3 linked regions of the Caenorhabditis elegans genome follow. The protein of the gene in region 1 interacts with the protein of each later gene in a pairwise test. Each region holds a gene or a part of one and is shown in the gene's direction. Other genes may lie near its edges.

Evidence for each region. The genes of interacting proteins can lie anywhere in the genome.
Region 2: the proteins of ajm-1 (region 1) and ZC247.1 interact in a two-hybrid assay, tested with the Caenorhabditis elegans proteins (one large-scale study listed by BioGRID).
Region 3: the proteins of ajm-1 (region 1) and Y106G6H.14 interact in a two-hybrid assay, tested with the Caenorhabditis elegans proteins (one large-scale study listed by BioGRID).

The regions. Positions count from the first base shown.
Region 1 is NC_003284.9:9,080,105-9,088,432, forward strand, and holds the start of ajm-1 (Apical junction molecule ajm-1), read left to right. Parts: upstream 1-2,878; coding exon 2,879-2,980; intron 2,981-3,798; coding exon 3,799-3,957; intron 3,958-5,164; exon of another isoform or gene 5,165-5,367; intron 5,368-5,583; exon of another isoform or gene 5,584-5,725; intron 5,726-5,928; exon of another isoform or gene 5,929-6,119; intron 6,120-6,181; exon of another isoform or gene 6,182-6,329; intron 6,330-7,474; coding exon 7,475-7,584; intron 7,585-8,328.
Region 2 is NC_003279.8:10,274,065-10,282,315, reverse strand, and holds the start of ZC247.1 (63 kDa sperm flagellar membrane protein), read left to right. Parts: upstream 1-3,081; coding exon 3,082-3,124; intron 3,125-4,014; exon of another isoform or gene 4,015-4,063; coding exon 4,064-4,130; exon of another isoform or gene 4,131-4,142; intron 4,143-4,175; coding exon 4,176-4,260; intron 4,261-4,373; coding exon 4,374-4,454; intron 4,455-4,500; coding exon 4,501-4,635; intron 4,636-4,692; coding exon 4,693-5,022; intron 5,023-5,066; coding exon 5,067-5,914; intron 5,915-5,954; coding exon 5,955-8,251.
Region 3 is NC_003279.8:10,469,526-10,476,875, reverse strand, and holds Y106G6H.14 (Osteoclast-stimulating factor 1), read left to right. Parts: upstream 1-3,486; 5' UTR 3,487-3,487; coding exon 3,488-3,583; intron 3,584-3,630; coding exon 3,631-3,748; intron 3,749-4,019; coding exon 4,020-4,234; intron 4,235-4,288; coding exon 4,289-4,423; intron 4,424-4,471; coding exon 4,472-4,570; 3' UTR 4,571-4,680; downstream 4,681-7,350. Other genes in the region: row-1 (C2H2-type domain-containing protein), read left to right, coding at 1-97, 141-627, 828-935, 979-1,073, 1,122-1,203; Y106G6H.16 (Dynein light chain), read right to left, coding at 1,379-1,525, 1,575-1,658, 1,708-1,812, 1,886-1,963; ska-1 (SKA complex subunit 1), read left to right, coding at 2,442-2,526, 2,581-3,053, 3,103-3,276; Y106G6H.13 (Reverse transcriptase domain-containing protein), read right to left, coding at 4,949-5,365; duo-3 (ubiquitinyl hydrolase 1), read left to right, coding at 5,820-6,049, 6,296-6,390, 6,440-6,518, 6,854-7,141, 7,196-7,350.

The DNA.
Region 1 (8,328 bases):
TTCTTGGAAAATGAGATGAAAATAGACCTCATTTCCATTTTCTACTAAACTTCTACAGTCCGTTCTGGCAATGGCCATTGTGACTATTCATCCAATTCGCGACTTTTCAAACTGTTATGAGTAGTAATCGGGCATTCCGCCATCGTTTTCACAACTGTTTTCCGATTTTCTTTTGTTGGACTTGAGAATTGGAATTCAATTCTTTCACACAAGACATTGTCACTTTTGCAACGTTCGGTTCCACTTTTTTATCATAATAACTATAATCAATCATAGTAAATGTTTGCAAGCTTCTGTTATTAGGATGGTTTTTTGTCGCAGATTTTTTTGCTTATTATAAAGGTACATATCACTAGCATTAATAATGAAAATTTTTTAACTTGATTTTGAGGTTGTTATGTTTTATTGTAAAATCAAAATATTTTTAACTAACTCATTTTAGCACTGCTGAATAATTAATAAGTACAACTATTTAACAGATTTTTTTTGAGTCACAATCCGGGATGGACGGCATTCTAAAATGTTGGGCATTTCGGATGTTTCGGCAGATGTTGAGTTTTAAAAATTGTGGCAATCGGTTTTTTCGGCAATTGCCGTCTACCCCTTATGAAAATATTTATTTCAAAATGTACCTGTTACAAAAATGCCACTTTCAAAAAAATTCTCTATTAAATTTTTTTTTCGATAAAAATTTACGAGGTTTGATGTAAATTATTATTAGTAGTAATAGATATCTTTTGGAAAATTTAATATGTAGTGCAATCATTCTCCAATCTCGGTAATATTGACTTATTTAATATTTTGCCTTAATTTAGCCACCAATATTAGACAATATTATTTCAAACGTCCTGAATGAAATCATCATTCGGAAGTGATCTAATCCATTTAACAAATAAATATTTATATCTAAAGCTTTTCGCCCGTCATCCTATCATCGCCTTTTTCGTCCTTTTCCCTATAATCAGACTATCGGTGAACGAGGAGAGAAATGTCAATAAACAAATTGATTAATCATCTTTGACAGGTGCCGGTGACCGGAAAATCCGTCATATCATAGTGTGAGGCAATCCGTTTTGAAAAAAATTCTATTGTGTTTGCAAAGTTAAACAGTTTTCAATATTCGTGTAATCTTAATTTTTTGTTTAGTGAGATTCATTTAAAAAAAGTAGTTCGAAATTTCAACGTTCCTCTAGATTCCTGACCACTTTCATTCTTAAACCGAATTATAACACATAACATCATGCACAAACATTATCATAATCTGTTGTATTTCCATCTTTATTTCTTATCACTTTTCGCATCTGTAGTTCGTTACAATTTTACGAGTTCTCGCTCATTCTCACTCCCGACTATCTTTCATTCCATTCCTCTCGATATTTATATTCATAATAAATAAATGCACTATAAATTTCTCCATCATCATTTTGCCTAGATTAATTCAACAATTGCATTTGGAGAGTAGCATATGTTTTCAGAATTTGTTCAAAATCACCTAGAATTCATCAATCAAGTCTGGAGTTTAAAAAAAAACCTAAGCTTTTATCCTCATCTTTTCACAAAACATCATCATTAACCGTTACTAAAGTATGCAACTATTAATCTGCTACTGCTTGTTGTTGTTTTGTATACATATCATGTTGTATTACATGTTGCTGGTCGACATCTCCTGTGAATTTAGTTTTACATTTTATTAGTTTTTTTGCACCTCTGAATACTATATTTTTATCATTAATAAAATAATATAATATCTAAATTCAAACAAATTCGAATTGTTTCTGTGCCAAAAACTATTCACGTTATGAATTGGTAACACTGAAAACTTCAGATGATGTTTTTAAAATATTTTTTTTTAAATATTTTTAAACTCAAAATTGGAACTATTTCAATTTCAGGGGTGCGCGACATTTGGTAATTTTGAAAACATTGGAAATAAAAATTACAGGAATTGCCGGATTTTGTTGGCAATCTTGTAACCTAACAAATTTAAGCTTGAAATGTCATGTGTATTTTAGTAGAGTTTTTTTGTCATCCGTTTGCTTGAGATAATTCAAAAATTTTAGAATTTGAGATACTTTTTTTTTCCAATTCCCGCGCACCTCTGTAGATCACAAAACTTGTTTTGTAATTAACTTTGTCATTTTATTAAAAGAATGTAACTTCTATATGAAGAGTATTTATTGTATTTAACAAAGAAATACGAATAATTTTGATTTTCTAACCAAGCCCAATGTTTTACTAGCTTGAAGTTTGATGTAACTCCATTATTGCACAGTAATCTGTGGTGTGAAACTGGCACGTATGTATGATTGAAATCACTAGAGAGATAAAAGAAGATAAAAGATTTTGCAAAAGTGGTTTAGTGCGGCACAAGCAATTGTTATGCGCTACCAACTTGTCTTCGTGTTCGCCAGAACTCACGAGCAAACACCACACTCTCTTCTCTTCTTGACAGTACAAAGAAATTGGCACATAATAGAAACCTGAGAGCTCTTTACTTCTTCCGTAGCACATCCTTCTTTTGTTTTTCGCTCATTTTCGTGTGTGTTATTCTCCCATCATCGTATTTTTTCACTACATATGCATAAAGTTGTTGATACATCATAGTCTGAATCATGGAACATCTCGTGGTCGCACATGTCTCCTTCTTCAAATTTTTTATTCAACAAAACAATGATTTCAAATTGTTGTATAAAAAACTAACCAAGCCTTTTTAAATTGCTAAGTTTCCGTTCAACAATTCATGTTCCTATTGAATCATTTTTTATTGTTGAAACCCATTATTCTACATTCAGCAATATGTAGGCAATTTGATTGAAATTCTATCCGCTTTTCCAAAAAGGAATGATGAAAATTTTAAAGGTTTTTTTTTCAGAATTGTATGGACATAGAAAATCTACAATCGTCAAACAACAGGTCACAGAAAAGTCGTCCTCCGGACGGCTTCAACGCCATCTTACAGACAGCATTTTCTGCTATTTTGGTGAGTATTTTTGCCATAATTTTAATACAAGTTAATACTAAATTAAAAATACTCCTATTAAATTTTTTAACTTAAAGGTAAAGTTAGGCCAAAACGAGATTTTCATTCGAGAAGAGATATTCATTCAGATTTCGCGCCTTTCTCGAAAATTGTCAAAATTCGTAAATATTGGATAATAATTAAAAAAATTTTTGAAGTTTCACGATGATTTTTTTTCAGTCCATCTTTATATTTATATCACATCCCTCTATATGATATTGAATCTGACATATGTTTTCTTTAAAATAAGCGTTCAGCCTGAGACCCTTCCCTCTCTCAATTATAATAAGAACAAAAGGGTATCAAAAATGCGGATCTTTTTCTTTAAATCGTGTCAAATTTCTCACAGTTTCCCGTGTTATTTCCAAGCATATTCTTCTTTTTACACCGGGCTTTCCGCTCTCAGAATTTATTAAATTCAAAATGTTTCGCGTATGGGTGGCAGCAAAAGCGTGCAATTGTGGATCTCGTACATTCGCTTGCAGACATGACCACCACACTTCCACTTTTTTCTAATAATCATTGCATTTCGGATACTAATTGCGTCTTGTGGTTGTCGGGTGGCCCTTCAACCGTCTCATTACATAAGGGCCTTCGTTCCGATAACTTTTTGCCCTTTTGGCGATCTGAAAACTGAGAGGAAAGAGGAAAACTAGTCCAGTAGATACACTATCCATTCATTAGAGAAAATTTGAATTCTTGACGCCTTCACCATTCCATTTCAATTCCCACACACCTTCTTACAACAATTCACCAATTAATTTGCTTTCTGAATTCAGGCGTTTGTCCTCTCTCTACGTATAATTGTGTTCGCCACGGCCCGGAAACGACTTACCACCACGGCGGCAAATCCGGATATTCAGGTTGAGGAGGCGTCGTCTTCCTCATCCGATACCAGCTCCGACACCGAAATTGTAGAAGAGGGTGTATTTATACAGGTGAGACCTTTTCTTGATTGTTTTTTCTTTTCACAAGACATTATCAATTTTTTATACTTTTGCCGTATAGGTTAAAAACTGAGTTTTAACATTTAACGTCTTGAAAGCGGAATTTTGTTTTCATTCACATATGAATAATTGTCAAACACGATTAAATATCGTAATTACACACATTTTAAGTTTTCATGTTCTTCGGAAGAATTATTTTCGGGAGAATAAGAATTATTTTTGAAAAAATGTCTTGCTTTCAAATAATTTCTCAATTATTTTGGGCATTACTGGAGATTTGAACACAACAATGTATATATAAAAATAATATGAATCTCCTTAATGTGTAAAACTGACAGGACATGTATTTTTTGGTTGACTTCCAAATGATTTATTGAAACTAAGTAAATGTTACTTTGTTTTGATTTTGTGTGTGATTTAAAAATTATATACATTTTTGATATGTTTGTTGGCTATTTTCGGATAGTGTAAATGTCTTGATCATATTAATATGCTAGGGATACCCCACATTCGAACAGTTCCAGATGATATTGAATGAAGATAATTTTAATAATAGTGGTAACGGAATAGAATGTATACATTGTAAAATTATACAACTTTTGAGCAAAAATTCACAATTAATTTACTCACAACACATGTGTTATTCAAAATTGTACGTGAAGCAATAAATCAAAAATTTAATTATAAAAGTGTCAAAATTATTATTTCTTTCCTGAAATTTATCTAATAACCATGTCTTGATTATGAGTCACTGACTAGAAATTTGCTTATTTTTAGTTTAATTTACGTTACCTACCTTAGTATTCAGTTCTTAATTCGCATCTTTTCCCAATTCCACTTGGCCAATTTTCTTCAAATTACCAATTCTGAACCATCTAACTCAACTCATCAAATCTCGACTCATTCATTCCACCAGACTCTAGCAACCTTATTAAAACTGTTCAATTGTTCCGTTGGAGATGTCAAGAGGGGCAGAAAACAGAGAGGGTCACAGACGTTTGCCCTTCCTCCAAATCGTCTTGGCCACTAACCTCTGTCGTGTTTTTTAATGTGCTACTACCTGGCTTCTTATGTGGTATTTGTGGTGTATATGTTGAATTTGTGTTATACTTTTACTTTTCTATATTCACGAGTTTTATACAGTTTAGAATTTATTTGTTCAACTAAAAATCTGCAAATGTCTCGATTGTAATTACTTAGTATACTTAGTAGGTTTAACGAACTTGAACTTTTTAATTTTTACTTATATTTGTAGTGAATTGATTATTGTAGGGATTATTCGTGTTTTAAATTTGAAAAAAAAAACACTTGTACCCTCTTGCTCCACCTTGGCAGTACTTGGGTAATTTTTGTTTTTATCAAAAAAAAATAAAATAGTCAAAATAGTCAACTAAGAAATATTAAATTCAACATAATTTTTTTCTTTGATAAACCCAAGGAGAACCGAAGTGTAAGCCGACAACTCAATAGTGAAAGTGAATTTTACTTTTACATAATTTTCCTTAGTGAAACTAAGTTGCGGAAAATTTTCTCAAACGATGCCAACTGGGAAAAGTCGAGTAAAAAGATACTGCCGTGCACTGCACGGTATACAAAAAGGAGATGCACCAACCTCAGCCACCTTGTCAATACACACAAATATGCATATACGTACCAGCTAACGCATATAAAAAGCCCTGTTTATTCAGATGATTCACACAAAACAACCCCGCCAGCTCTTCTGCCTTTTTGCCCCTTTTTCTTTTTTCTCTGTACATCGTTGTGTTCATATAATACAATATGTTTGATTTTTTGACTTTTGCATCCATCTCTATTCCTCTTCAAGTCACCAATCTTTCGCACTTTTTGTTTTTTCTTTATGTCTCGGGATTTCTTCATTTTCTGGTCATTTGTCATCAAATCATTGTACCGTCACTACCAATTAGTCATCATATCCGTTCAGTGTACAACGTTCCGTTCACTCCGAAAAGGTAGATTAATCCAAACCGCCTGTCAATCAAATTGTAGAGCCTACAACTATGATCTTACGCAGATTTCATTTCGTTTGTGTTTCTCCTTATACAATTTTCAATGCCATCACCATCACACCTTCTGATTTATGAGGTTCTGTATAGAGCGAAAGAATTGAAGGTTAACACTTACTATTAGATAAAAAGTGGAATAAAAACCAAAATCAAAACCAATATCTAAGGTTGAAAAATAAATAAAAAATTGGATAGGTAGAGCGGTGAGCTCTTTTCCCCCGTTTGTGCAAATCTCGGTCTCGACATCTATTTGATTGTTTGCACAATGTTTTTTTTCCAGTATTATCTTCTCTTTCATTCCACTTCCCGCTTTTTAGATGATACTTTTGACCATTTCATGTAGCCGCTTTCTTTTTTGTCTATTTAAAAACAAAGTATTCTAGTTTTAGTTTTTAGTTCATGGTTTTATTTATATTAGGTGTTCCAAATTGAAGAAACTGTTTTATTGAGAATTGTTATAGTATGTTCCATTGTCAATCAAATGTTTTGGCATTTTGATTAGAATCAAAATTGTTTTTTTTTATTGAAACAATATTTTTAAAACTTTTTAATTTATTACGCTCTCTCGGAGATGTAAAAAATACACAATAAAAATAGGAAAATTTGAAAAAAAAAAAATTAAGACTCATAAACGTTGCAAATACTTTTCTCAAAACTTTATCAAACCGTATAAAAAAACTGTCACTGACAAAACCTGCATTATGTCGTTTATGCATCATAACTGTAGAATATCTTCTGATGTACTCGAAAAAAAATGAATAGTCAAATAAGAGTGGTTACTTTTGCGTCAATAAATCTACTGTAAGCAAAATTGACAGAAACAGTTTTTTAGTTCAAGAAATTGAGTAGAACAAATTTAAAATTACAGAATTCTAAGAAGATATATGACCTTTCAAAAAAATTTCGGTTTCAAATTAAATGTATCACAAAGTAGAAAATGCATTTGAGTTTGAATTAATTCAACTTTGAAAAAAAATTTCACAAGAAGTGTTGGAAAAAATATCTCTAAAGCTGTGTTTTCCTCTAGAATCCAATCTCTAGATCTTTTAAAATTAAGCTTTACTTTTCATATTCCAGTTGCTTCATTCAATTTACTACTTACACCGCTTTTTCCTAGATCTTATGGTTTCTCCGTTTTGTAACCGCAAAAAGTGATACCTGTTATGTTACGACGACCCAGATTGTATCGCTGAACGGTTATAAAACAATTGTCGGAACGAAAAGTTTTGTTGACATTGTTGGTATAACTTATTGAATTGACAAATTTATCCGCTTAACAAGAAGCAATTTTACGGTTTCTTGTACTACTGAATGCTTAGTACAATGAAAAAAAAGAATTATTGTTTCTTTTGAAACATTTCTTCTTTGAATATTTAGAACAAAAAAAATCACATCACATTGCTGTTCGTTTCCCAATCCTTTTGTCTCTATGCATAGCATTTTTGATTCTCAAACAATATAACCGAAAGTATTTTTCTTTTCAGAGACAAGGGGAACCAACCATGTCAGAGAAAAAACCGGCACAAGGAATGCCGTCCGTAATGTCGCTGCTTCAAACTGACGAAATTTTGTCATCATGCTCAGATGACGAACCGTAAGTCTTTTCTAGTCTGAAAATAGAAAAAAAATTAACAAATGAAAATGAATTTTTTTTTCTGAAAATCTACTCTAAAGTTAACTCTCCTACCCATGGCCCAATCGTTATTAAAAAATGATTATGTGGAGATATGTAACAAAAATGCACAGTGTACATACTTTTACTGTATGAATAACAGAAAACGTTTTGAAATTATACAAACGACTACAAAATGTGTAATTCAACTGAAAAATAATATAAACTGAAACCTAATTTTTTAAGATTTGAACAAATATTACCGTTCCAAAAAATGAATTGTTAGCTGACTCAATTGTTTTTGGCATCAACGCGAAAAAAGTTGAACCATTTCTCAGAAGAAAAAGTGGTTATAATACTATCATAAATTTTGAAAAGCTTTTGATTATGAAAAGCTTTTACCCATTCTCGATATAAAAATACTTTTACTGAAATACCTCGAAATTTTCTGGAATTTTAATAAATTAGATACAATGCTAAACATTTTACATTTATTTTTCTCACAATACAATACAACTAATCAAGGTTTCCTAGTAATAATAATACTAATCTGAAAAAATTTCAACGGTTAAATTTGTTTCGACATTTCCAAAATTCTGTTAAATAAAATTGCACTTCACGTTTTTTCAAGAAAAATGTAACCAGAAACTTTAAGCAAACCAGCTTCAAAAAATTGAATATATAATTCGGATCTAAATCAGAAGTCGTCTGGGAAATTTTAGAAAA
Region 2 (8,251 bases), on another chromosome or scaffold:
ACGACTAACACAAATTTTTTGAACATCCGTCAGCCACTTCAAAGCAGAGTCCCTTAAATTTAAACTTTCCGCCTGAGAAGGCTCCGACCAATCAGCGCCGTTTGCCACGCCCTTTGCGCGTCGCTGATTGGTCGAGAAGTTCAAACGTAGAATGAAGCGCCCTTCAACTCGTGGATTGCGTACTTTTTATTTCCTTTTGCTTGTTTTCCAAAAACAACAATAATTGAAAAATCGTGTCCTAATCCTAATTTTTTTTTTGATTTTCTATCCTTCTAACTTTTTCAAAAGTTAAAATTTTAAAATTGGACTTGTTTCATCATATTGTTTTTCTGATGTTTTGTGATGGCTAATTGCAACATAAGGTTCTTGGTAGTGGTAAAACGGAATGAGGAGAGAAAGAAGGCCGTTTCGATTCGATCACTACTCTCTCTTTTTTCTCTCTCATTCTATTTTTTGTTGTGTTTTTTCTCAGTTTTTCTTACCTACCATCTCTTTTGTTTCAAATTGAAACACTTCATCATTCGACGGAAAACTTGTTTTTATCTTCGTTCCTTTTTGCTTTTTTTCTCTGATTGTTATTTTAGTTATTGGTTATTAATTGTTGAAAATTTAAAAAATTTAAAAAAAGTTTCTTTAAGAAAATTATAATTCATGAGACTTTCCCAAATGATCTGATTTCTCAAAGTTTGAGATTAACTTCCTATTTCCTATTTTTTCCAATAACTTTTGATCTCCTCAACCTCAACTCTCTTACGCCACCAGATTTTGAAATTTGCCTTTTCAGTCAAAACAGACACTCGTAACAATTTTACAGTTGTATCCCGTACATTTCAAATCTTGTAAAAAAACAATGTCAACCCACGAACTTTCTTACAATCTAAAACTGGGATCGATGACACATTGTCACAAGACCCCCGCATTCCAATGTATTAGATTTCAAAAATATTTTGAAATAATTTTTGTTCAAAAACGGTTTGTCAGTATCATTTTGATATGATTTAGAAATGTGTAAATATCCCGTCACAGTAATTACTTTGCGCGGCAGTTCAGTTATTTGAAAATTTCTGAAGAATTTAGGTGCAATTTCTCAATAAATAACAAAATTTTAAACGTTTTTAAATTTCAATTCGCGTATTTGTTCATATGATTTTCTTTCATCGTTTAAATAATTACTTTTAAAAATAATGGCATTTTCTTTCAATAAACATATTTCAAAACTTCTCAAACATAACATAAATACCAATATCTCTTGATTATCACCTCTTATCAATTACGATTAACCCCGTTTCATTCATTTTATCACACGTACCTCCTCCTCTCATATGCATCTTTATTATATTTCATATTGTTCGTTTACTTTTTTCTTGTAAATTTCACAATGTAATTGACCGCCCGTGTCTTCTCACTAACATCTAGGAGGAGCTCAAAAGTTGAGTTGTAATCAGTGTTCATATCTGCGTCTCTTCTTCTCCAATACTCTCTCCTTGATCTCGGTTGCCTCTCGCATTCTATTTCACTTCTTTCTAAACCAACCACAAATCCCATTTGTTGCCCTTCCACCTTCTGTTCGAGTCATCTCTCTGTACATCTGTGTCTCTGTTTGGCTCCCGATCTCTTGCCTCTCAACATCTCTAAATTCTCCGCGTTTTTGTCATCTGGAACACCCTTCATCACTTTTCCGCAGTCGTTTATTTACTGCCCTCAAAATTGCATGCACTTTCAAAAATATGTCATCTGGATTCCAATTTTTGTTTTTTTTCACACATTTCTATGATTTTTTCTCATGTTTTCTTTTTTTGCTGGCACATTTCCAGATTTCCTAGATTGTCTAGATCTCAAATTTTCTCTTGAAATTAAAAGTTGTAGGACTGAAATATGGATTCCAAATAAAACTACTCTGAATTCAATATTTATTTGGATATTATGTCTCTCTTATTATATATCAAATTTATCAATTCCAATTAAAGTTGTTATCTTTTTTTCTTCCAATTTGCTAAACTTTTAACATTTTCCCAAATTGTCTTTATTTGAACTTTTCATTGAACCTATTTTTTTTCGAAAAACATTCCTTTTTAATTTTCTAGAAGTTAAACTAATTCCATTATCTTAAAGTGGATCTTTCAGTTGATAGGTCAAACTACAAAACATTGAGCATGAGAGGAACATAAACCTTTATCTAGAAAACAGTAGAGCTAAAATTTCTTCAGACCCTTTTCCCAATAATTATTTAGATTTTTTTTTGTTGTTTTTAAAAAAATCAGCTGAAAAATGTTTTGATCGAGCTACTAGGTAGAAACATTTCAAACCTTTCAAAATAAAAAAAATTGCAAAATTTTTGTTTTCCTCTTCCTACACATTTTTCATTTGGAAGTCTAAATGTGATCTTTCCGTGCCCGAAAAATTTTCAATTTATATTTTTCAAAATTTATACACCATTTTTCCAAATGGTTTTGCCATCCAATTTTTGTTTTTTTTTCAAACTTTCGAGATATTATAGCTAATTGAAAGTGCAGTTTTTCTTTCATTTAATTATATTTTTAACAACAAAAAATTTTGAATACATTACTCCATTAAACAGTACTCTTAACCAGTAATTTCCCAGCGCAGTTCATTTTTCCATTTAGATAGTTTCAATCTCGGTTGTTTTCTGGATTTATCAAAAAATCTTCAAATTATAAAAATTATTTCTGTATTTTATGAGGTAAAACATTTCTGATCAAATAGATTAAAAACCGTCGTAAAAGTATGATAAATGAGGTTTTTTTTTCGGGATTTTTTTAAAAACTATTTTTTTACTTTACTACTTTTACATGTACTCTAATACAATTTCATAACACTATCCCATCTCTGACCGCAACATAAATTGACATTTGTATTGACACAGCCTTGATCTATTCCCTCCTTCATTTATCCCTTGTCCTCTTGTCGTCCAGTTATTGTCAATCCTTTTTGTCAGCCTCTCCCCTTTTTTCACTTTTTTGCTATAATTATTTTTCTGTTTCAAAGTACTCAAAGAGCTTCCTTAATTATTTGCTCCCTCCCCTCACTTCGTTTAATCTAACAAACTATTTTTCAGGTTATATGAGTGATAACCCGACGCGCCAAAATCCTCCCAGCCGAACAGGTATGTCTTTGCCTTCTTCATCATCTTTCTCTTCACATCAAATCTTTTATCATTTTGATACCATAAATTGACAATGCAATCTATCATCATCTTGAGAAATGGCATACAAATAGATTTGATTTCTTGGGGGTTAAAAACCGGAAAATTGAGAAGTGTAGCTATTATGATTTATTGAAAAATCGGAAATAAATGAAAAAAAGAAAACAATAACAACATTATTAGACAAGTTTAATTCAACACGTAATAATTTTATAACATGAGAAATTATAGTTCTCAGGCAGGCAGCCAAGCCTTCCGGCGTGCCTACCAACCGCCTATTTTCTAAATTTACATTTGCATTTTTGCATGACTGGAATTTCTACAAAACCTCTCATTTCAATATGTTATTCATATTTGTTTGGTTTGAAAATCATTTTTATTTTTGCTGGAAAATATGTTTTTAAACCTGAAATACTGCCTTGAAGATGCAATTCGCAGAAAAAAACTACTGTAAATATATTCCTGGAAAATACAAATTTCAGTCAGTTTTTGAGGTTATTATCTACTTTTTCAGATGTGAAAGCAACTATTTTCAAATCAATAAAATACATTTTATATATTTTTGCATTGATATTTAGCTCGAAAAGTTGGATAAACTTAGCGAAATCTGTAGACCTCAAAATTAAAAATGAGTGCAACTTTTTTCACATCAAGATGTTCTATTTGTTCCTCCCAGTTTTCAAACATTATACAACAAATTACATTCGGTTTTCTTAGTTTATAATTGGGCGTTAATGAGAAACTATCTTTAAAATTTTTATCAACCGCAAAAGACCTTAATCGAGAAAAAAAATTTACCAACTATCATATTATTTCGCAGAAAATGATCAAAAATCTACTAGTATTCTGCACTAATTTAGACACTTACCGAGCTTTTCCAAAATTTTAAATATTCTGCAGGCAGAGAGCTGGAACGTCCCCGATGGACAGTGACACGTCGCGAAGAGACACGACACTCACCGTCCAGGTACATCGATTTCAAAATTGTTCATCTATTTAAAAAGTTATTCAGATCGACTTCTCCGTTTCAGTCGAGAAGCGTGACGACCACTGAGCGAGTTCATATCGTGCAATTGCCGGTCAGCGAAAACTCTCAAGTAAGAACTTTTTGATTTAATTTCAAGAATAGGATAACCACCAACGTTAAACGTAACAATTTGTCGTTAGCTTTTATTTGTAGACACTGAGCGCATTTATCAAACATTTTCAGGTGTCCCCAGCACATATTCTTGCCTTGTCACCCCATGGCAATACTTCACAGTCTGTTTCGTCAATCGTTACAACTAACCAGGTAAATATATCATAAATGAACCGGTACAGACAATACCTTTTTTCAGGCAGAAGGTGTACCCCTGATCGGAGCCCTGACCGCATCTGGAGTCCCTTTGTTCAATGGTATTTTGTTTAATCGTGACTCGAAACAAACAACTACAATCATTACGACCACCACAACGACCTATAAAATTTTGGAGGTATATTAATATATAAAGCTATAGTGCCGTATTTCTGAAAATATTATTAAATTACAGGTCAGTGATAGTGATTCACTATCAGACGATTACGAGCTTGTCGACGACAATACTTTAACAGTTGACATTGACCTCACTGAAAGAGCAACATCGCCAAGCTATGTAATTGTCTCAAAAAGCGAAAGCCATGCACCGATGTCGCCGGTAACCAAGGCCAAGCTTAACATTGAGCTTGAAATTCCACCTAAAACATATCAAACAGAAAGAATTGAACATGAAGTACTAGAATCGACTAGAGACTTTACTAGTGAAATGACAGAATCACAGTACACAGCCGACGATGAAAGACAACCATCTACACCAGGATCAGATGAATTTGAAAAGTTTGATGTAAGTTTGAGCTTCTATACACTAAAAACATTGAAAACACTTAGATGGACTATCCCATTCATCAAGCTTATGACGACCAAACTGTAACAACGACTTCGAAGACTACAAACATTGAAGAAATTCCACTGAATCAACACGTCGACTTGTACCATAATCAATTTTTTTATGATCAAATTCCTGGACCATCTACACCAAAGCCAACATCAAAAAATACGAAAAAAGAAAAACACATCAAGAAATTTCCATCTCATCTTGATTATCCAGTGTCTGAATCTTATGATGGACCACTTGATTCAACTTCACGAGCATCCAACATTCATGATATTCCACTCACAACGGAAGTGCATTCATATCCAACTGAATTCAGCTATGAGAAACTGCCAGAGCATGTCATTCCAGTTGTGATCGAGGAGTCAGAGAAGAAGGACGAGCCATCACTGAAATCTAAGATCACTGGATTGTTCAAGAAATCACCATCTCATCTTGATTATCCAGTGTCTGAATCTTATGATGGACCACTTGATTCAACTTCACGAGCATCCAACATTCATGATATTCCACTCACAACGGAAGTGCATTCATATCCAACTGAATTCAGCTATGAGAAGCTGCCAGAGCATGTCATTCCAGTTGTGATCGAGGAGACAGAGAAGAAGGACGAGCCATCACTGAAATCTAAGATCACTGGATTGTTCAAGAAATCACCATCTCATCTTGATTATCCAGTGTCTGAATCTTATGATGGACCATTGGAATCTACTTCACGAGCATCGAACATTCATGATATTCCACTCACAACGGAAGTGCATTCATATCCAACTGAATTCAGCTATGAGAAGCAGCCTGAGCATGTCATTCCAGTTGTGATGGAGGAGACAGAGAAGAAGGACGAGCCATCACTGGAAATCTAAGATCACTGGGATTGGTTCAAGGAAATCACCATCTCATCTTGATTATCCAGTGTCTGAATCTTATGATGGACCATTGGAATCTACTTCACGAGCATCCAACATTCATGATATTCCACTCACAACGGAAGTGCATTCATATCCAACTGAATTCAGCTATGAGAAACTGCCAGAGCATGTCATTCCAGTTGTGATCGAGGAATCGGAGAAGAAGGACGAGCCATCACTGAAATCTAAGATCACTGGATTGTTCAAGAAATCTCCATCTCATCTTGATTATCCAGTGTCTGAATCTTATGATGGACCATTGGAATCTACTTCACGAGCATCCAACATTCATGATATTCCACTCACAACGGAAGTGCATTCATATCCAACTGAATTCAGCTATGAGAAACTGCCAGAGCATGTCATTCCAGTTGTGATCGAGGAATCGGAGAAGAAGGACGAGCCATCACTGAAATCTAAGATCACTGGATTGTTCAAGAAATCACCATCTCATCTTGATTATCCAGTGTCTGAATCTTATGATGGACCATTGGAATCTACTTCACGAGCATCGAACATTCATGATATTCCACTCACAACGGAAGTGCATTCATATCCAACTGAATTCAGCTATGAGAAGCAGCCTGAGCATGTCATTCCAGTTGTGATCGAGGAGACAGAGAAGAAGGACGAGCCATCACTGAAATCTAAGATCACTGGATTGTTCAAGAAATCACCATCTCATCTTGATTATCCAGTGTCTGAATCTTATGATGGACCATTGGAATCTACTTCACGAGCATCGAACATTCATGATATTCCACTCACAACGGAAGTGCATTCATATCCAACTGAATTCAGCTATGAGAAGCTGCCAGAGCATGTCATTCCAGTTGTGATCGAGGAATCGGAGAAGAAGGACGAGCCATCACTGAAATCTAAGATCACTGGATTGTTCAAGAAATCTCCATCTCATCTTGATTATCCAGTGTCTGAATCTTATGATGGACCATTGGAATCTACTTCACGAGCATCGAACATTCATGATATTCCACTCACAACGGAAGTGCATTCATATCCAACTGAATTCAGCTATGAGAAACTGCCAGAGCATGTCATTCCAGTTGTGATCGAGGAATCGGAGAAGAAGGACGAGCCATCACTGAAATCTAAGATCACTGGATTGTTCAAGAAATCACCATCTCATCTTGATTATCCAGTGTCTGAATCTTATGATGGACCACTTGATTCAACTTCACGAGCATCCAACATTCATGATATTCCACTCACAACGGAAGTGCATTCATATCCAACTGAATTCAGCTATGAGAAGCTGCCAGAGCATGTCATTCCAGTTGTGATCGAGGAATCGGAGAAGAAGGACGAGCCATCACTGAAATCTAAGATCACTGGATTGTTCAAGAAATCACCATCTCATCTTGATTATCCAGTGTCTGAATCTTATGATGGACCATTGGAAACTACTTCACGAGCATCGAACATTCATGATATTCCACTCACAACGGAAGTGCATTCATATCCAACTGAATTCAGCTATGAGAAACTGCCAGAGCATGTCATTCCAGTTGTGATCGAGGAATCGGAGAAGAAGGACGAGCCATCACTGAAATCTAAGATCACTGGATTGTTCAAGAAATCACCATCTCATCTTGATTATCCAGTGTCTGAATCTTATGATGGACCATTGGAAACTACTTCACGAGCATCGAACATTCATGATATTCCACTCACAACGGAAGTGCATTCATATCCAACTGAATTCAGCTATGAGAAGCAGCCTGAGCATGTCATTCCAGTTGTGATCGAGGAGACAGAGAAGAAGGACGAGCCATCACTGAAATCTAAGATCACTGGATTGTTCAAGAAATCACCATCTCATCTTGATTATCCAGTGTCTGAATCTTATGATGGACCACTTGATTCAACTTCACGAGCATCCAACATTCATGATATTCCATTCACAACGGAAGTGCATTCATATCCAACTGAATTCAGCTATGAGAAGCTGCCAGAGCATGTCATTCCAGTTGTGATCGAGGAATCGGAGAAGAAGGACGAGCCATCACTGAAATCTAAGATCACTGGATTGTTCAAGAAATCACCATCTCATCTTGATTATCCAGTGTCTGAATCTTACGATGGACCATTGGAATCTACTTCACGAGCATCCAACATTCATGATATTCCACTCACAACGGAAGTGCATTCATATCCAACTGAATTCAGCTATGAGAAACTGCCAGAGCATGTCATTCCAGTTGTGATCGAGGAATCGGAGAAGAAGGACGAGCCATCACTGAAATCTAAGATCA
Region 3 (7,350 bases), on another chromosome or scaffold:
TTTCGGGAGAAGCTCCATACAATTGTCAAAAATGCAAATATCGAACATCAGTTAGAGCTTTCTTTTATCAACATTTCATTGAGAAGCATAGCAATGAGTATGATTTTTTCAAGAAAAAGCATATTTAAATTATTCAAAAGTTCCAGAACTCTTCTCTGTCCGATTTGTCTCCATCACGAGGATCTACGTCCAAATGTCCGTCGATCCAAGCACATTTTCGTTCGCGAATTCGTTAACCACATGCGTTCTCATGCATTGGGACCACAAATGCGATGTCATGTATGTGCTCTGACATTCACTAGCAGATTATTGCTTGAGGCTCATCGTACCAATGATCACACAATGCTCAATTCACTGTGGCAAGTGATTGAACGGAAATCCGTCCATGAAACTGAAAGAGAGCATATGTCAAAAAGAAATAAGATAGGCCTACTTCAACGTAGATTCTTTGAAACTCTGGAAGGGCGTCGGATAAACGATGAAGTTGCCTGTGCTGGAGACAAAGAACGAGAAGGATTTGATCTGACGACTACTGGGGATACTCTGTTCGAATGTGAATGTGGCTTCAAGTCGTGGAATGGGAACCGAACAGCATCACATTATCACAAATGTCGTCGGTCTATAAATGTATGATTGAATTTTGTGTCAAGAGTGTGCGAAAAAATCTACAACGTTTTTTTTTCGGCAAAATAATTTAATCATTTTTCTATATTTCTACAGTAGCCTTCGAGTCAAAAGTTACATTAAAATTTCAAAACGGGCCATTTTGTAGATTTTTACACTTCCTTATATATGACTTGTTTCAAAATATAATGTTTTTATTGTAGGATATCGAAAGAAAACGGGAAATTGTCCGGCTGGGAAGTGATCCGAAAGAAGAACTCGAACTTTTCGCTGTATATCCACAACCAACAAACACTGAAGCAGAAACTGAAGTACGTTAAAAACAATCGTGTTAAACTGGAAAGTTTTTTTCAGGAAGCAACACTTCGAAAAATTCATTTGGAGAGAGGAGATCCTTTACCAATTCTTGAAGATATTGTTTACCAGCCAATTGATGATTTACCACTATTGTACGTAATTTCTTCTTCCTAACTCTATATACAATACATTTTTTACAGAAAAATGCTCTCTAAAAACCACGACAAAAGTTTGGAAATTATGGAAAAGTGCACGGCGAGTGCCGTCACTACCGAAGACTGATTCGATCTCGCTTGATCTCCTCATTATGATACTATTATTTGTATCGATTTTTCTCCACGGTTAAAAACTCTACTTCATTATGTTTTCCCATTGAATCACATTTCGATCTTTTCCATGCTTATTTTGAATGAATTACAAATGTCTTGAACAAATTGCTGTACATTTATAAAGCCATTCACCACGTTGGCCGAGGACAACGTGTTGGTAATCGCAAAAAGTAGAAATGATAAGCTATGAGACAAAGAAGGGTAAAAATTATTATTAAAACTGTGCATCGTAGACATGAAGACGAGTTAGGTTGTACTTTTATTGTGTTTATTATCTGAAAAATAATCATTTTATCAGAAAATTGAGATATTTATGACTCCTACTTTTTTATTTTCTGTTGGAGATCGAGTAAAATGGCGCATTCGAATACTTTGAACTGGTGGGGAGCTTGTTTTATTTATATGATACTGAGAATTAAATATATTTTTTATCTCTTTTGAAATAAAAACAACTCACATTTAAGATTTTGCAGATTTTATCTGGCTTTACACATGTGGACGGAACACATTCTGCGTCAACAGAAAGAGCATCTTTGAGCAATTTTTCTGCTTCGTTGCGAACCTGAAAAATTAAAAGATGAGAGAAACTGAATATTTTTCAGTGTTATAACGCGTTATCGCATCAATTAACTCACGTCCTGCCCATTTTCAAAAAGACGAACCACTTCTTCAGCTTTTTCAATAAATAAATCAAATTCGTCTTTTTCTTCCATTTATCTTCATTGGGTTAGGTATAAATATGATGTTATTTTGTAGAAAAACGTTTCTAACAAAGATAAAAATCTAAATTTGAAAATTCGCTTTTATGGTCGTGGCCTAGAAATTCGAACTGTGGCTGCTCTATCGCCCACGGATGTGTACTCCTCTCGAAGTATATCTGAATTAAAACGGCGCGAATATGACTCATCGTTCCTTGCCGTCTTGTCTTTATTTATTTAATTGTTTTATCTTTTTAATTAGCTATAACTTCTTAATTAAATTGGAACAGATTTTTTTCTTGCTCTACTGCATTCTTTATTTCTTAAATCCAGCAGAAACGGCCACTGCTTCCTTTTTCCCTAAAATTAGACTTTATCGAATTTGGCTCTTTTCCGTTGATTCAATTTCAATTGTTGATACATTAAACATATCTCTAATACTACAAAACATAACATATTAAAAATTAAAAATTAAAACATTACCTGTTTCAGAATGGAATCGTTTATTGATCGGATTACCGAAGAGACCGATGAAAATTTCCGCATATGTCGAGAAAATATTCCCAATTTTGAAACAAGTACGTTTACTTTTCTTCACAACTTCTCGCATTCTTCATTATCACTTCTTTCAGCAATCAGCCCTCTCTTGAATACAATGAAGAATATCAAGTTGTTACTAGATGATGCAGCTTTTGATCAACAAAAATTGGAAAACAACTGTGAAGAAACATGTATGAACTGCACCAAAAGTCAATTGAATGATTTTCTCGGAATCAAAGTTGAAGCTTCCACGATTGTCGATGTGAAATCACAATTGGTACCTCAAAGTAAAGAATCATCTGCTCTTGTCGAAACCAATGAACCGAATGAACAAGGATTATCGTCTAAACCGAAAGAAAATGATATCAGAATTGTGCCACAGATAACGGATGAAGAATTCAAAACAATTCCAAAGTATCAACTAGGCCGGTTAACGCTGGAAATGATGAATGAAATAGTGAGCAAAATGGATGATTTCCTGATGAAAAAGAGCAAAATCCTGGGGAAAACTAATAAACAGCTGACAAGGAGCGATAGGGAGGTTTTGGACAATTGGCGAGAACTTGTAAGTTTGTTTTACTTGTTTTATTGAAAATAAATCTATAATTTTTCAGGAAATGAAAGCAAGAAAGAGACTTCCAACAACGTTATTCTTCATAGAAACCGACATTCGACCAATGCTCCAAGACCGTCTTCGTCCATCATTTGCCAAAGCAATTCCGTGCCTTCGTCACATTCGTCGAATTCGAGAAGAACGATGCGGACCGTTGACTTTCTATTATCCATAAATTCCTTACGATATTTGTACATTTTTCAAACTGGTCTCAACGTATTAAATTTCTCTGTCAAATAGCTAATAAACGGATTTCTACTTCAAATGATCAAAAAAATTTATTCTTCAATTTTTACACCTTTGTTTTGGTGAATATATTCTACTTTAAAAATATTATTGTTCTGATTAGAAATATGAATTTTTCAACATTTTTAAAATTTATCAGAATGTCATCAGCTCGACCAATGGCTCCACCACCACCAGCTCCAAAGCCAGGACGAGTGAAAGTTTATCGAGCACTTTATGATTTTCAAGCCAGATCTGTAAGCTTTAATTTGAAAAAAACAACCCAATTATTGAATAAATTCAGGCTCAAGAGCTGACATTCAGTGAAGGAGATCTAATGTACGTCAGCGACGAGCAGCCGAACAAAGATTGGTTCCAAGCAAGCATCGGAGGCAAAAAAGGATTGGTTCCAGCTAATTATGGTGAATACTTACAGCACAATCAGGAATGTTTTGCAAAGCTGCGGCGCGGTTCGATGAGAAGCGTAGATTAATTCACATGGTTTTACAGTTTTTAGTTAAATTACTTGTTTTTGAACTTTTTTCGTCAGTTCATTAGTACAAAATCATTTTTAAATGGCCATGCATCAAACCGCATCTCAATTTTGCAAAACCGTCGTTCCTCCTCTTTTATAATTCGAAACTGCACCGAGTTCATCGAGATTTCTAGAAATTCCAATATTTATTTTTTCAGTGATCAGTGAGAATGTGGAAGAGCTCCCGAATCCCCTACATGAAGCTGCTCGACGTGGAAATATGGATATGCTGGCTGAATGTCTTCGAGAGCGGGTATCCGTCAACTCCCTCGATAAGTCCGGAGCTACACCACTTTACTGGGCTTCACATGGTGGACACGCGCCAGCAGTGGATACGTTGTTGAAGGATCCAAAAGTTGCAGTTTCGGTTCAGGTTTGTTGAAATATTCTTTCACATGTAACGAATCTCTAAAAATTAAATTTTCAGAACAAACTCGGTGATACGCCTCTTCATGCAGCGGCCTACAAAGGCCACGTGGAATGTGTGAGACTTCTTCTCGCTTCGTCAGCCAATCCATTTGTAAGGAATCAAGATCAAAAGCTGCCGAGTGATGTGACAAAAGTAAATATTGTTTTTTATAGAAGTTTTCTATAGAAAAAATAATTCCAGGATGCTGATATCGCTGCTCTTCTAGACAAAGCAATGAAAGAGGATCGTGTGAATGAAGAAGAGTATGCTGAATATTTGTCAGACTCGGATGCTGATTAAGACTATTAAATTTGCAATATTTATTCCTTTTGACATCTTGTAATTATTTCTCAAACACTTGTCGATATTTATTGAAACTTTGCCCAACCTGTGATAAACTTTTTTTTCCCTCTATTCTCCTTTTTCAAATACTCGTTTGAATCGAGGTTTTCTTTACTTTTAATCTTTCTATTTCAGAACTAATGCTATTCAAGTATCGTAGTTTTGCTTTTTAATGTGTGAATAGGGATTGAGAAGTCTTAAATTAAACGATTCTACGACCACCTTGAAATAGATAAGCTGGGTCTCGTCGCGAAAGTCTAGATTTCTCTAATTTTGCGGCTGAATAACGAGTAAATACAGAAACCCAAAATACAAATGTTTACTCATTCCATCAAGTTATATATAGGCATAATCGGATGGTTCACTGGTGTGATAGTCGTTGGTGTAGATGTTTGGGCTCTGAGCAGCATATTGATGATGAGAAGAGACAACATCATTCGTGTTCCATGCATATTGCGACGATTCACTTTTTGGCGGGGCAAAATATTGCTGATTGTCCATAACTGAGCTGTTCATTGTCAGTTGATTCGGGTTCTTCTCGAGCTCCGCGGCCTTCATGGTGCAATAGTCCGACACAACGTGGTTGCGTTGCTCAAAAGCGAGTTGTGAATCAACGATACGAATGATCGCGTCGCCGTCGAGTGGGACATCGGCAATGAATTGTGCCTCAAACATATCACTCTCCGATGCTGGAAGAACGTCGGCGTCGCTCTCCAAACTAGCATCCATGTAGAAGCTCTCGACGTATGCCATCTTGAGTGAGCTGCAAAATACTTATTCATTTTTTTAAATGAATATTAGATAGGAGATTCCGATTATAGTGGAATATCAAGAAGAAATAAATGTTAGAAAATAGCAGTGGCTAGAAGAATCTCCTACCAGCACATCACAAAATTTCAGTCAAAGAGTTTCAGCAGCTCTTTAGGATGTTCTAAAGAAATTCTTCTTGCCACTGATCTCAGCTACCGCTTGCCTTCACAGAATTTCCTGTTAAAGCACTTACTTGATGCGAATCGAAATGTGTTCCTAGGGTTGGACTAAAATCGAAATAATTTGATTTTCGATTTCACTTCACGGGAGGGGAGATTTTTTTTGCCAGATTAGTTTTATTGATAAGCAATTAGAATGTCACGTATGTATAATAATTACTATTTTGCTTTTGTTTCAAATTTCAACGTTAAAATATATTTAAATATCCTGTTTTCAGATGCTGGAAAACTTCTTTATTGACGTGACCATCACAAGACCTCGCATCACACCTATAAGAATGTTGAAGAGACAAATCGAATTCACATCGGATTCTATCAGATTCAGGTGTCCCGGAGGAGGAGACAAAGAGTATTACTATACACAAATGATGTACAAGCCGATAGCGGATAATTCACATACGGGAGCCAAATTGTTGAACATTGAGTTGAATAAACAGTGCGAAGAAAGGTGATTTAATTTTTTTTAAATGAAATATCATATTTTTAAAAAAATCGCTCCTTTAGAATTGAAATTCTACAAAAAACATTTTTGCGGCCTGCTATATCTATAAAATACCATTGTAAAGATACTTCTCTTTAATTTTCGATAATTTCTTGCCAATTTACAAATATTCCAGAATTTCTGTTTAAAGTGAAAATTAGTAATAATCTCAAACTTAAAATCACACTCTCAATTAATAAATATAATTTTCAGTTATATCAAACTTGAATTCACAAGCCACGATGCTCACAGGCACATGGGATGGGTTGTAAATCAGTTTAATAAAATGATTGAAGCCAATAAAGATGGTAAATTAAATTGTATGGCTATTAAAAAAATAAACAATAAATATTTCAGTAATGGAACATCCAAAAAAACGGAATCTTGCAACTTTCTCCTCCAACAAAAGCAGCAATTCCGCTGATCATGGAAAAAAGTAAGTTGAGAATGTCCTGCTACGCACGTCTCCATGGGATACGGCAGCTTTGTGTAGTAGTAAGGAACATGGCAGTTCAATAAAATACTCTATCGTGGCATATTTTAATTTATTTAATTAAAAATTAGAGCCGAGATACATTTAAAACTTAATTTAGATGCATTCTCAGGTGAATTTTATATTCTTTAATTAAACTAATTTTTGATTAAATATATTGTTTCAAATTTCAGTACGCCGAAATTAGGTGATTTTCAGGATTATCAAACAAACTCATGATGTTTTTTATTCAGCCTAAATAAATTAAAAAAAAAACTAAACTTTATTATTATTTTCAGTTCTGAAGACTTGGAAAACTATCTACAGAGGAAACAATCAGCTGATTATCAACAGAAAAAGATGGTAAATCTTCAACATACGCTGACTCCTTCTCCATACGCTTCTTCAACACCAAAACACACTCCAACTAACCAAATGGATCGTTCGAAGATATCTTTCGTCATAAAACCACAAATTAACCTGAAAAACTGCTCGAGGGAGTTGCTTTCTCCGAAATCATCGATATTTTCCTCATCCCCAAAGCCAAAGGAAACGTCTCCATTCTACAAGACAACTCCCACAAAAACGTATGATATTTATTTTATTCTCAAAATTGTTGTAATTCTCTTTATTTTTTTCAGATTTTCATCAACTCCCAAGAATTTAAAACTCGAAAATCTGAAAAGTCCAGAAGATATCAAATCTCCACCGCCTATCAAAAAGAATTTCGTTGCAACACCGTCGACTTCTAAAAGTACTGCTTCTTATTCTTATTCTCGAGAAACACCGAAACGGG